3 linked regions of the Danio rerio genome follow. Each later gene encodes a partner of the first gene's protein in a complex. Links are inferred from orthologs where the notes say so. Each region holds a gene or a part of one and is shown in the gene's direction. Other genes may lie near its edges.

The links.
Region 2: pigp (region 1) and pigh share a complex: the UniProt entries of both Homo sapiens proteins name them as parts of the glycosylphosphatidylinositol-N-acetylglucosaminyltransferase (GPI-GnT) complex. The link is inferred for Danio rerio from reciprocal best matches to the Homo sapiens genes PIGP and PIGH.
Region 3: pigp (region 1) and dpm2 share a complex: the UniProt entries of both Homo sapiens proteins name them as parts of the glycosylphosphatidylinositol-N-acetylglucosaminyltransferase (GPI-GnT) complex. The link is inferred for Danio rerio from reciprocal best matches to the Homo sapiens genes PIGP and DPM2.

The regions. Positions count from the first base shown.
Region 1 is NC_133185.1:420,770-423,592, forward strand, and holds the end of pigp (phosphatidylinositol N-acetylglucosaminyltransferase subunit P), read left to right. Parts: intron 1-80; coding exon 81-153; intron 154-244; coding exon 245-363; intron 364-1,094; coding exon 1,095-1,198; 3' UTR 1,199-2,283; downstream 2,284-2,823. UniProt on the Homo sapiens protein: Part of the glycosylphosphatidylinositol-N-acetylglucosaminyltransferase (GPI-GnT) complex that catalyzes the transfer of N-acetylglucosamine from UDP-N-acetylglucosamine to phosphatidylinositol and participates in the first step of GPI biosynthesis.
Region 2 is NC_133195.1:31,131,985-31,135,746, reverse strand, and holds the start of pigh (phosphatidylinositol N-acetylglucosaminyltransferase subunit H), read left to right. Parts: upstream 1-1,423; 5' UTR 1,424-1,541; coding exon 1,542-1,718; intron 1,719-3,201; coding exon 3,202-3,411; intron 3,412-3,488; coding exon 3,489-3,572; intron 3,573-3,668; coding exon 3,669-3,743; 3' UTR 3,744-3,750; intron 3,751-3,762. UniProt on the Homo sapiens protein: Part of the glycosylphosphatidylinositol-N-acetylglucosaminyltransferase (GPI-GnT) complex that catalyzes the transfer of N-acetylglucosamine from UDP-N-acetylglucosamine to phosphatidylinositol and participates in the first step of GPI biosynthesis.
Region 3 is NC_133180.1:32,331,320-32,335,081, reverse strand, and holds dpm2 (dolichol phosphate-mannose biosynthesis regulatory protein), read left to right. Parts: upstream 1-1,053; 5' UTR 1,054-1,108; coding exon 1,109-1,111; intron 1,112-1,907; coding exon 1,908-1,997; intron 1,998-2,123; coding exon 2,124-2,226; intron 2,227-2,815; coding exon 2,816-2,871; 3' UTR 2,872-3,415; downstream 3,416-3,762. UniProt on the Homo sapiens protein: Regulates the biosynthesis of dolichol phosphate-mannose. Regulatory subunit of the dolichol-phosphate mannose (DPM) synthase complex; essential for the ER localization and stable expression of DPM1.

The DNA.
Region 1 (2,823 bases):
AGACATTGCAGCTGCTGGTGTGTTCTTCATCTGTGGTGTTGTGTGTGTTTGTTTGTGTGTGTGTTTGTGTTCTCCATCAGTGCTGTATGTGGTCTGGGCGTTTGTTCCTGACTCTTGGCTCCATGCAGCCGGACTGACCTACTGGCCGCAGAAGTGAGTGGTCTGTCTGTCGTCTGCTCTTCAGATGCTGATGTTTAATGTCTGATCAATCACTCTTTCTCTCTCTCCGTCTGTCTGTCGTCAGATACTGGGCTCTGGCGGGCCCCATATACCTGCTGGTGGCCCTGAGCACCTGTTTCGTGCTACTGTTCGGAGTGAATATGATGAACACGGCTCCGCTGGCCTCAGTGGACAACATCACAGGTGAGAATTCAGACTAACACCACATGAGCCATTAGTGTTTGAGCTGCTGAAGATCATGTCAGCGGAGACTCAGAGCATTATAGATGTGCAGTTCTAGATGAACAGAGACAGGAGCCACAGACTGCAGACACACTCACACTGATGCATACACAACACACACACTGACGCATAGCCGTCTGTAGCTCCGCCCTCTTCTAAAAAGAGCTCAACCTCATTTGCATTTAAAGCGACAGTCACCAAAACACCACAATGAGGATCACAGCCTGAAAGAGTCAGTTTCAGAGAGCTGGAGGACATCAACTGTGTACTGTTCTCAGCTCAAACACACACACACACACACACACACACACACACACACACACACACAAGAGAGAGACACAGCAGAGACGCATTTACAGCTTGTAGAAAGGGGCAGAATAAGTCTCCTTTAATGAGTTAACAGTCTCAACCCCTATGATGAATGGCAGATTAGCAGATTCTGACATTACTCCTCCACATCTGGACACTTGATCTTCACTAAAGTCTCTTGAACCGTCACAGACACTTTCCTAATGTGCTGTCAGCGAATCTGAAGTCTCTTCTGTCAGTCTAATTCACCAGAACTGAACTCTCATGACTGGATGAATGATTCTGTTCTCATTAGACAGTGTTAAATCACACACACACACACACACACACACACACACACACACACACACACACACGTAACGCTGGTTTGTGTGCTGCTCCAGATGCGTATGGCAGGAGTCAGCGGGTGGACGAGGACCAGCCGGGAGCGATCCCCAGACTCCGAGACGTGTCGGTCAGTGAAATGAGCCGGCTGTTTTACCTGTGAGCCGCCTCTGTCATCAGCGCTGGAGAGGCGTTTGCAGAGGCGTCTCAGGTGAGCAGATCCATCAGGTGTGTGTGACGGCCTGAACTCCGGCTTCCAGATGACCCCGCCGTGACCTCAGCGACCCCTGTGAAGCCACACCTCAAAACACATCTGCACTTCAGCATTTCTCTCAGATCTCTGAATCTCACTGTGTGTGTGAGTGTGTGTGTGTGTGAGTGTGAGTGTGTGTGTGTGTCAGACGCTGACCTCACAGTGACCTGCAGTGAAACGGTCACGTCTCTATCTGACCATCACGTCCATCAGTCTGCAGTGAGCGTAAACAGACTGCTGACGCTTCACCTGTGACCCCGTGACCCCTCACACACACACACACACACACACACACACACACACACACACACACACACACACACACACACACACACACACGCTGCATCTGCAGTTATCAGTGTGTCTCTGCATCATTCAGACGTCCTGTTCTTCCCTGAATAAATACCCATCATCCCATTGAGTGCCCACAGGTTATGAAATGTACACAAGTGATGTTATATTAATTATATTTCTGTAGTTATTATGTCGTATCATGTATAATAATCATATTATGTCTGCTTTAATGTGTCGGATAATTCTGTAAGTATAGTTATTAATAAACATCATCCAGTCTTAAGAAATTACAGGAATAATTTTAGCACAAATAATAGTTTAGTGCATTGAGATGGCACTGTTAAAGGCGCTGTATAAAAATAAAGTTAATAACTGCCATAAATAACTCAATACTGGCCCATACTCCAGTGCTTATAAACCTGTTTCTGTTGAACACAAAAGAAGATATTTTGAAAAATGTTGTAAACCTGTAACCATTGACTTCTATAGTATGAAAAACAAATGAGTCAGTGCTGTTTATTAGTTCAGCTTTCATCAATATATCCTCTTGTGTGTTCAACAGGTGAAACTCCAGTAAAGGCTGAGGAAATGTGTATTTTGTCTGTATATGACACTTTCTAGCGTCTGGTACACATTAAAGCTGCAGTACTCCTCTGTTATTGTGACGCTTGAATTAAATTATTATATGTTGTTCATATTTGAGATGTTCTCGTTCATCATTAGTGTGAACAGACCTGTGGTGTCTATCCTCATAATCAAACATGACAGGAGAAACTAATGCACATCATCTGTTTATTTGTGTTCACAGTTCAGCAGTAATACATCTATCAATCACACACACACACACACACACACACACACACACACACAGCGGGGGAAAAAAGTCTTGAACACACTGATGTTTTTTCCTGGGAATAATATTCCTGAAGGAGCTGCTGACATGGAGTTGAAGATTTTGGTAAAACCCCAAACATAAAACAACAAACAAACTATGAAACATGAGTTGAGTGAAATAAAACTGAACTGACAGATGGAGAAAGTGCTGAACTGCTGAAGTGTGTTTAATACTGTATATAAAAGGCTTTATGAATGACGGCAGCCTAAAGTCGTGTCTCATATGGAGAATGAAGCCTCCTGCAGTGCTCAGGTGTGAGTTTCTCTCAGTCTTCATCAGAGTGTGTAAATCTTGATGCTTCTGTGGGTCTCGTCTTTCAGATCTGAGCTGAATTCAGTATTCTCTA
Region 2 (3,762 bases), on another chromosome or scaffold:
TTAGTATCGTACAGTCCTTAAAGTATGTTCACCCAACAACACACACTGATCAACAGAGCTTTGACCGAACAAAACAAGCTGATTTCGAGCCAGAATCACACCGCAGTTTTCAACAAACGAGCTGCTGAATTCCCTCAAACATCGCACACGACAACGACTCTGTCATAAACACAAAAACAATAAGCCGGTTGATGTGAAGATAACTGTTTTTGCCCACCAGCTTGTAAAATGATTCCCCTCCCCGGTAGATTCGGGTGAATGTTGTTGCCAGGTCAGATCAGCTGATCGGCTTGTTTTCACTGGAGCGGGAGTCAAAGGTTACCGACCGCAGGGGCTGATGGGAAATGCAGTCAGATCTCATACATTTCCTAAAGAATCGATAATGCAATGGGGAGAGGTCATCTGAAAAATATTTCAAAAACAAAATGGTGGTAGAATACAATTTATGGGAATGTACTAGGCAGTTTTTTTATTGTAGGCTACATTTATTTGGTCGATTATTACCTTCACATTGCTGGTGACAAAGACACTAAAATATAAATAAAATAAAATACTTAACATTTTAATTGTTACTCAAGTTAATATAGTCTTACTGCATAATCTAATAACATCAAAACAGTTAGCGTATTTCACATGGCACTCCGGGGGTATCCTGCTGTTCCCAGGCCAGCCGAGAGCCGTCCTGGGTCTTCCCCGAGGCCTCCTCCTGGTGGGACATGCCTGGAACACCTCCCAAGGTAGACGTCCAGGAGGCAGACTTCTCAGCTGACTTCTCTCGATGTGGACAAGCAGCGGCTCTACTCTGAGCTCCTCCCGGGTGTCAGAGCTCCTCACCCTATCCATAAGAGTGCACCCTGCCACCCTTCAAAGGAAACTAATTTTGGCCTCTTGTATATGAGATCTTTTCCTTTCCGTCATGACCCAAATCTCATGACCACTGGTGAGAGTAGGAACGTAGATTGACCGGTAAATCGAGAGCTTTACCTTTCGGCTCAGCTCCTTCTTTACCACAACGGACCGGTACATCGACTGCATTACTGATGACGTTGCATCAATCCACCTGTCAATATCACTTTCCATCCTTCCCTCACTCGTGAACAAAACCCCAAGAAACTTAAACTCCTCTACCTGGGGTAAGAACTTTCCTCCAACCTGGAGGTGCAAATATTACTAATCAAAAATTTTATTATTTACTTGTATTTATTTAAAAAAATATATTTTTGTGAAACATAGCTCAGTAAATAACTTAATGAAAAAGATCATTTAGGCTTTTACAATGTACTTTACAGTGTACTTGTTTTCACTGGAGCGAGAGCTAAATATTTTTGTGCAACTGGTTTTGTGGTCCAGAATGGGAGTTTTCAACCCCAGTCCAGTAGATGGCGAAAACGCACCTGTATGTTATTTTGCCAACGTCACATTATCATAAGAAGAAGATGGTTTTACTGTTGGTGGAAAAATAATAATCTAAGCAAAACTATTTATTCTGAAGTCTTTATTAATGTAATTTTCCGACCGCGAAATAACCAGCAGTGATCGAGATGGCCGACGAAGAGTTCACAGACATAAATGGCAACTGGATTTCTTTAGACTGCCAAACGCACTCTTCTTTCTGCAGAGAGTTTACTGTTACCTCACCCAAACTGTCCTTGCGCAAGGTGATGGTGTACACCTGCTGTGTGTGGTTATTTGCTTATGCTGTGTTCTTCTTCACCCAGGTAAGAACATTTTATCATGCGGACTATGAAGGCCTTGGCGTCTTTTGCTGTTTATTAGACAAAAAATGACTGTTTATTGGACTTTGATTTGACATTGCGCGAAAACGTCTATTATACAGTTGAAAACAAATTTATTAGCCCTCCTTTGAAATTGAACTTTTTTTTACTAAGTTATTTTCCCAAGTTTTCTTTAACGTTTAGAGAAGATTTTATTTAAAAAAAGAATTTAATGATAACATAATTATTTTGTTTTTTGCCATAATGAAATTAAATAATATTTTACAATTTATTTTGCAAAATACTAGTAATATTAATCTAAAAATGCAATTTAAAGGCTTAACTGGGTTATTTAGGGTTAACTAGGTCAAATCATTGGACAACAGTGGTTTGATCTGTAGCCAATATTTAATATTTCTTAAGGGAAAAAAAATACATATTTAAAATGTACGTCCATATAGTGAGGAAACAGAAGTAGTTTACGTTGTCATTTATAGTGCATTTATTACAGCTGCTGAGTGCAGGTTAAAACATTTGATTGTGCATGAGGCTGTATTTGGAGATCAAAATAAGAAAACAATATATAGTTTCTCTGAAAAAAAAAAGCTTCTAAAAAGTGTAAATGAAAAGTATATTTGGAAATACTGTAAATATTTTCCTTGCTCTGTTAAAATATCCATCGGCAATTATTCTAAGAAAAAGGATTTTACAGTAAGGCTGATCATGTGGTCTTCAACTGTATTCAGTGATTTTATCACATGAGCCAAACCATAAAAAATGCTTTCTTTACCCATCACAATATGCAATTTTAAAGAAGATAAAACCAAAATACAGAATATGTTGGTTCAATAAAGTCGTATCCCTCTAAATCCAATACACTCAGTAACCATTTCATTTGGCAGGATTATAGTCGAACAGGAACCCAAATTAATCATGTTTGTGTTTTTAAGGCCTGTGATTGTGTAAGCATGTAAAGCATTCATGCATAATGAAATAATGAAAACTATTTTACATTTGATTACTCAATTTGAGTACCCGAATACTGCTAGAAGGTTGTTGTTTTCATTCATCGCTTTGCTCTACTGTTTTTATCAATACTTTTGATTGATTTATTAAATTTGATGCAGATACACTCCACAAAATCATCATAATCAATGTAAAATTATGTAAATTCTTTCCAAATAGAGCTATTCATTTCATCTGGTGAATTTATTTACAGAATCTCAATGTGTATTGACAAAAAACTAAATACTGCAATATCAGCTTTTTCCCAATATCATACAGCCCTAGTATATATCTCAAAATTCCACTTAGTACTAAGCAAGAAGAACTTATTCAGGAATTTCCAACATGGCTGCGATTGAAAGTTTGATATTATAATAGAATATATGAAATATTTTCGTGAATGTCAAGCAAATGTTCAATATAAATCTAACCTAATTGCTCTTATTGATCTAATATAATTCTCCTTCTGTTTAATATTCAGAACACGGCGGTTCTGTCAAGTGCCATCATCCTCACTTTAGTTGGGATGGTGATTCATATTCACTTTGTGAAGGTGGACCATGAGACCCTTCTCATAATAGGCTCTCTGGGTGTCCAATTGTCCTCGTCTTACGCCTCTGGACGAGAAAGCACGACTTTCATTGAGATGAGCAAGCTGAAAGACATCGTCATAAATGAGGCTGTTTATATGGTAAACACACAGTGACCTTCACGCATGATAGATATCGAGATGTAAAAATAATCAGTGTTTGTGTTTTTGCTCCTCAGCACAACATCATATACTATCTGTGCATTCTCATCAAGGACCCAGCAGATCCTGAGACGGTGACCAGTGTTGTTCCTCTCTTCCAGGTTCAAAACAGCTGTTGTTATTCATTCGCAAAAGCAAGATTATAGGAATTTGTGACATCTCAGTATGTAAATGAACACCTTTGGTTCTTCCTCCAGAGTTCAAAGCCTCGGCTCAATTGTTTGATTCAAGTGTACAAGAGCTGTCAAGAAATTCTAGCACAGAGCAGATGACGCAGAGGTAATGCTTCAT
Region 3 (3,762 bases), on another chromosome or scaffold:
TGTCTCCGAAATTCAGATGGAAGTGTTAAACAATGGACCGGGTTTCAAACGGCGGCGGCGGAGATCGGAAACTATACGTATATAGCCTACGTGTGTGTTTGTGCACATCTCCCTGCGATATAGTCTAATGTAATCCAACTGTAGTATTTTGCAGCATCATGATCATGTATGTACCATAAAACCACATGCAAAACTTTTCCTTACAGCGCCACCTACTGGACACTTACACACACTGAGCAGAAAAACACTTCTCAAGCAGAGGGCCGAAATACTAAAATAACAAAACCAAATATATTTATCAGTTTAACTCATTCTCTCAGAATAAGTATTGTATGTGTGTGAATGTGAGTGTGTGGATGTTTCCCAATACTGGGTTGCAGCTGCCTTTATGGTCTTCATTAAAGATGTGGAGAAAGAATTATAGCCAATATAAAGTTGATTTCAGAATCTAATAAGAAAGCTTTAAAAACTGTGAAAATATGCTTTGCTTTTAAGGTCTTCGTGTAAGTAGCCTTAACTCTGATTTGCAAAACAAATTTTTTATGCTAATAAATAATAATGTGAACAATTAATTTAATACTTATAAATATTTAATGTCTTTCCATTTCTCTCTTCTCTTTATTCATTCATTCATTTTCTTGTTGGCTTAGTCCCTTTATTAATCCGGGGTCGCCACAGCGGAATGAACCGCCAACTTATCCAGCATGTTTTTACGCAGCGGATGCCCTACCAGCCGCAACCCATCTCTGGGAAACATCCACACACACACACACACACACAAACACACACACACACACTATGGACACTTAAGCCTACCCAATTCACCTGTACCGCATGTCTTTGGACTGTGGGGGAAACCGGAGCACCCGGAGGAAACCCAGGCGAACGCAGGGGGAACATGCCTTCTCTTTATCTCTTATGTTATTTTTTTCTATTGTTTCATACTGTTCTTTTTGGAGGGTATCTAAACCTGGATCTGTGTTTGTGCGCCCTCGTGTGATGAATAATGAAAAAACCAAGGTGAGTTGTAAACTACAATTCCCAGCACTTCCTTTGCCTGTCGGAAGTACGTACGTTTTACAGCTCATGCGGAAGTGGCACGTTCGTAATGGTAAGATGAAATTAAATGGGTATAAAATTGTTGTTTTGTCCTGTGTATTTATATATTTTGTATATTACAGAACACATTTTAAGACGCCTCGTCGTTCCTAGAGAGTTAACTTACTGTTCAATTTTCTAGTTAATGTGATGCGTCTGGTTCATGAGAGTTTCAGTTTTTAGACATGTTATATAACTTACTTTTTATTTAAAATTATATTTATTCATTACTTGTTCGTTCATAGTTTAAAGACCGCTGCTGAAAGCTAGGCCAATATATACTTTGCTGTGATCCAGAGATCCAGACAGAAAGTCTTTATAAGCTCTATGTATGTACATATGAAGAGTTCAGATGCAAAAACCTCTAACGTTAAGTGCCATCCTAAATTTCCATGGAAAATTTAAAATTTTTACCTACCTCCTTTGTTTATGTTGAGATATTTCACTTTAAAGAACAGGAAAAGGACTTATTCTTTGTCCTAAAGTGATATTACTGAACATACACACTGGAATCTGATAAAAATGCTTATTTTAGAGGAAAAACTCAGATGGCATTTAGAGATATTTGCATCTAAAATCTTCATACATGTTCTTAATTTATGTTAAACTTGAGGTAAAATTATTATTATTATTATTTTTGTTTTGATTGTAAAATACAATTGAAATAACCCCAAATAAGACTTAAGAAATTGTATATTATTTTATTGTATAATTTGTATAAATATTTTATTGAATTACTTATTTTTGCAATTTATATAAAATGTGATGTGTTAATATATGAGCTAAGCCCAAAAACTATTTATCTTAAGGCAACCGGAGCAGATCAAGCTGTTGGCTTTGGACTCGTTGGCTTTAGTCTTTTGCTGTTCACATATTACTCCATTTGGGTGGTAGTCTTGGTAAGTGATCAGTTAAATTCATTTTTACCGGTAGATAAATCATGCACAATGTGTTACTTATTTCCTGTGCTACTAAAACATATGCTGCTAAAAAAAGTGATGGAAACTCTTCTGCTCTTATTCCAGCCTTTCGTAGACAGTGACCATGTGATACACAGCTATTTTCTTCCACGAGAATATTCAGTCATACTTCCTGGCATCGCAGCATTAATCCTCTTGCTCTTTGTTGGTAAGCAGATCAAGTAATAAAACCATAAAAAAATTAACATGACATGTTCATGCTGTAAATTTTGATTAAAATATGGTCATTTTAAGCATTTATGCCTCAGTGAGGAAAGCGAAAAACAAAATCCTTCTTTAATAAAAATAATAATTTATAGTAATAATACATTTTATTTGTATAGCACTTTTCCAGCATAACATACAACTCAAAAGTGCTTCACAAACATGAACAAATAGTAAAAGCAACATCAACGTGGGGAGCTAAAATATAGAAACAGATAAGCAAAATTTAAATTGCAAATGTTGAGAATAAAAATTATTTATCAGAAAATTATTATTACAATCAATAGTTTTGAAATATTTAAACCGGATGATTAAACTTTTACTTTAACATAATAATTGTGTTAATTAAATTTATGTGAACATAATTCTGTCAAAATAGTTTTTCTTGCATTTTCTTGAACGCTGCAAATAGATTTACTAAATGATTTTAAACATTGTTCACTTTTAGCATGTTTGCACAGCTAACCTTAAAATTAAAAGCTTTTCATGTTTTCCTCTGTATTTAATAATCAAATGTTCTACTTCTCTTTAAGGCACATTCATAGGGATCGTAACATGGAAGAATCGAAAACCTAAGAAAGTTGATTAAGACTCTCCAGGTTGTTGTGATTCGTACTGCAGCAAGAATGATCAGCGTTGGTTTTACTCATCCATGTGAAGAGGATGAACTTCTGGAATCCAGTCATTTGTCATGTTCAGGTGCTGTAGTTGTTAAAATGAACATCAAAATAGAGTTAACTAATTCACCAAAGCCGTACTGAACATGTACACAATAATAGTCTACCTGAGCTTTGTACATCTAGTAGCTACAACATTGACTCAAGACCATGCTAGTAGTGCAATGATTTAGGGAATTAGCGTGAATAATACATAAGATGATAAAATAGGCACATAAGACATGTGTGTAGTTTAGAGCACATCTAAATGAAATATGGGAGTAATGTTTCATTGTTCTTGTACTATGCTTTAAGTCTGTGTGTTTCAGCTGTTCTCTTGTTTTGTAAATAGACATATTTATGAGGTAGAGTGCTTCCTTTTAGCCTCAAATATCAGAAGAAGAGTCTGAAAATAATGGGAAAGGGATTTTTTGCTGTTTCAAACAATTCCTCATTAAATGAACAGAAATATACCTATGTCATGTGTTTTATATGATTTATTTGACATAACACTTCTGCTACTGTAGCTCATCTGTTTTTAGGGTTTGAGGTGATTTTAATATCTCAGCTGTAATGATAGTGGTTGTTACTCTTGTGCTGTGTTACTGCTTACCTTTCTATTGAACCAGTCTGGCTATTCTTTGGCCTCTTGCATTAACAAGTCATTTTTACCCACAGAACGGATGCTCATTAAATATTTTATTATATTATTTTGCTATAAAAGCCCAGTAGGGCGAGGCAGTGGCGCAGTAGGATGTGCTGTCGCCTCAAAGCAAGAAGGTCGCTGGTTCGAACCTCGGCTCAGTTGGCGTTTCTGTGTGGAG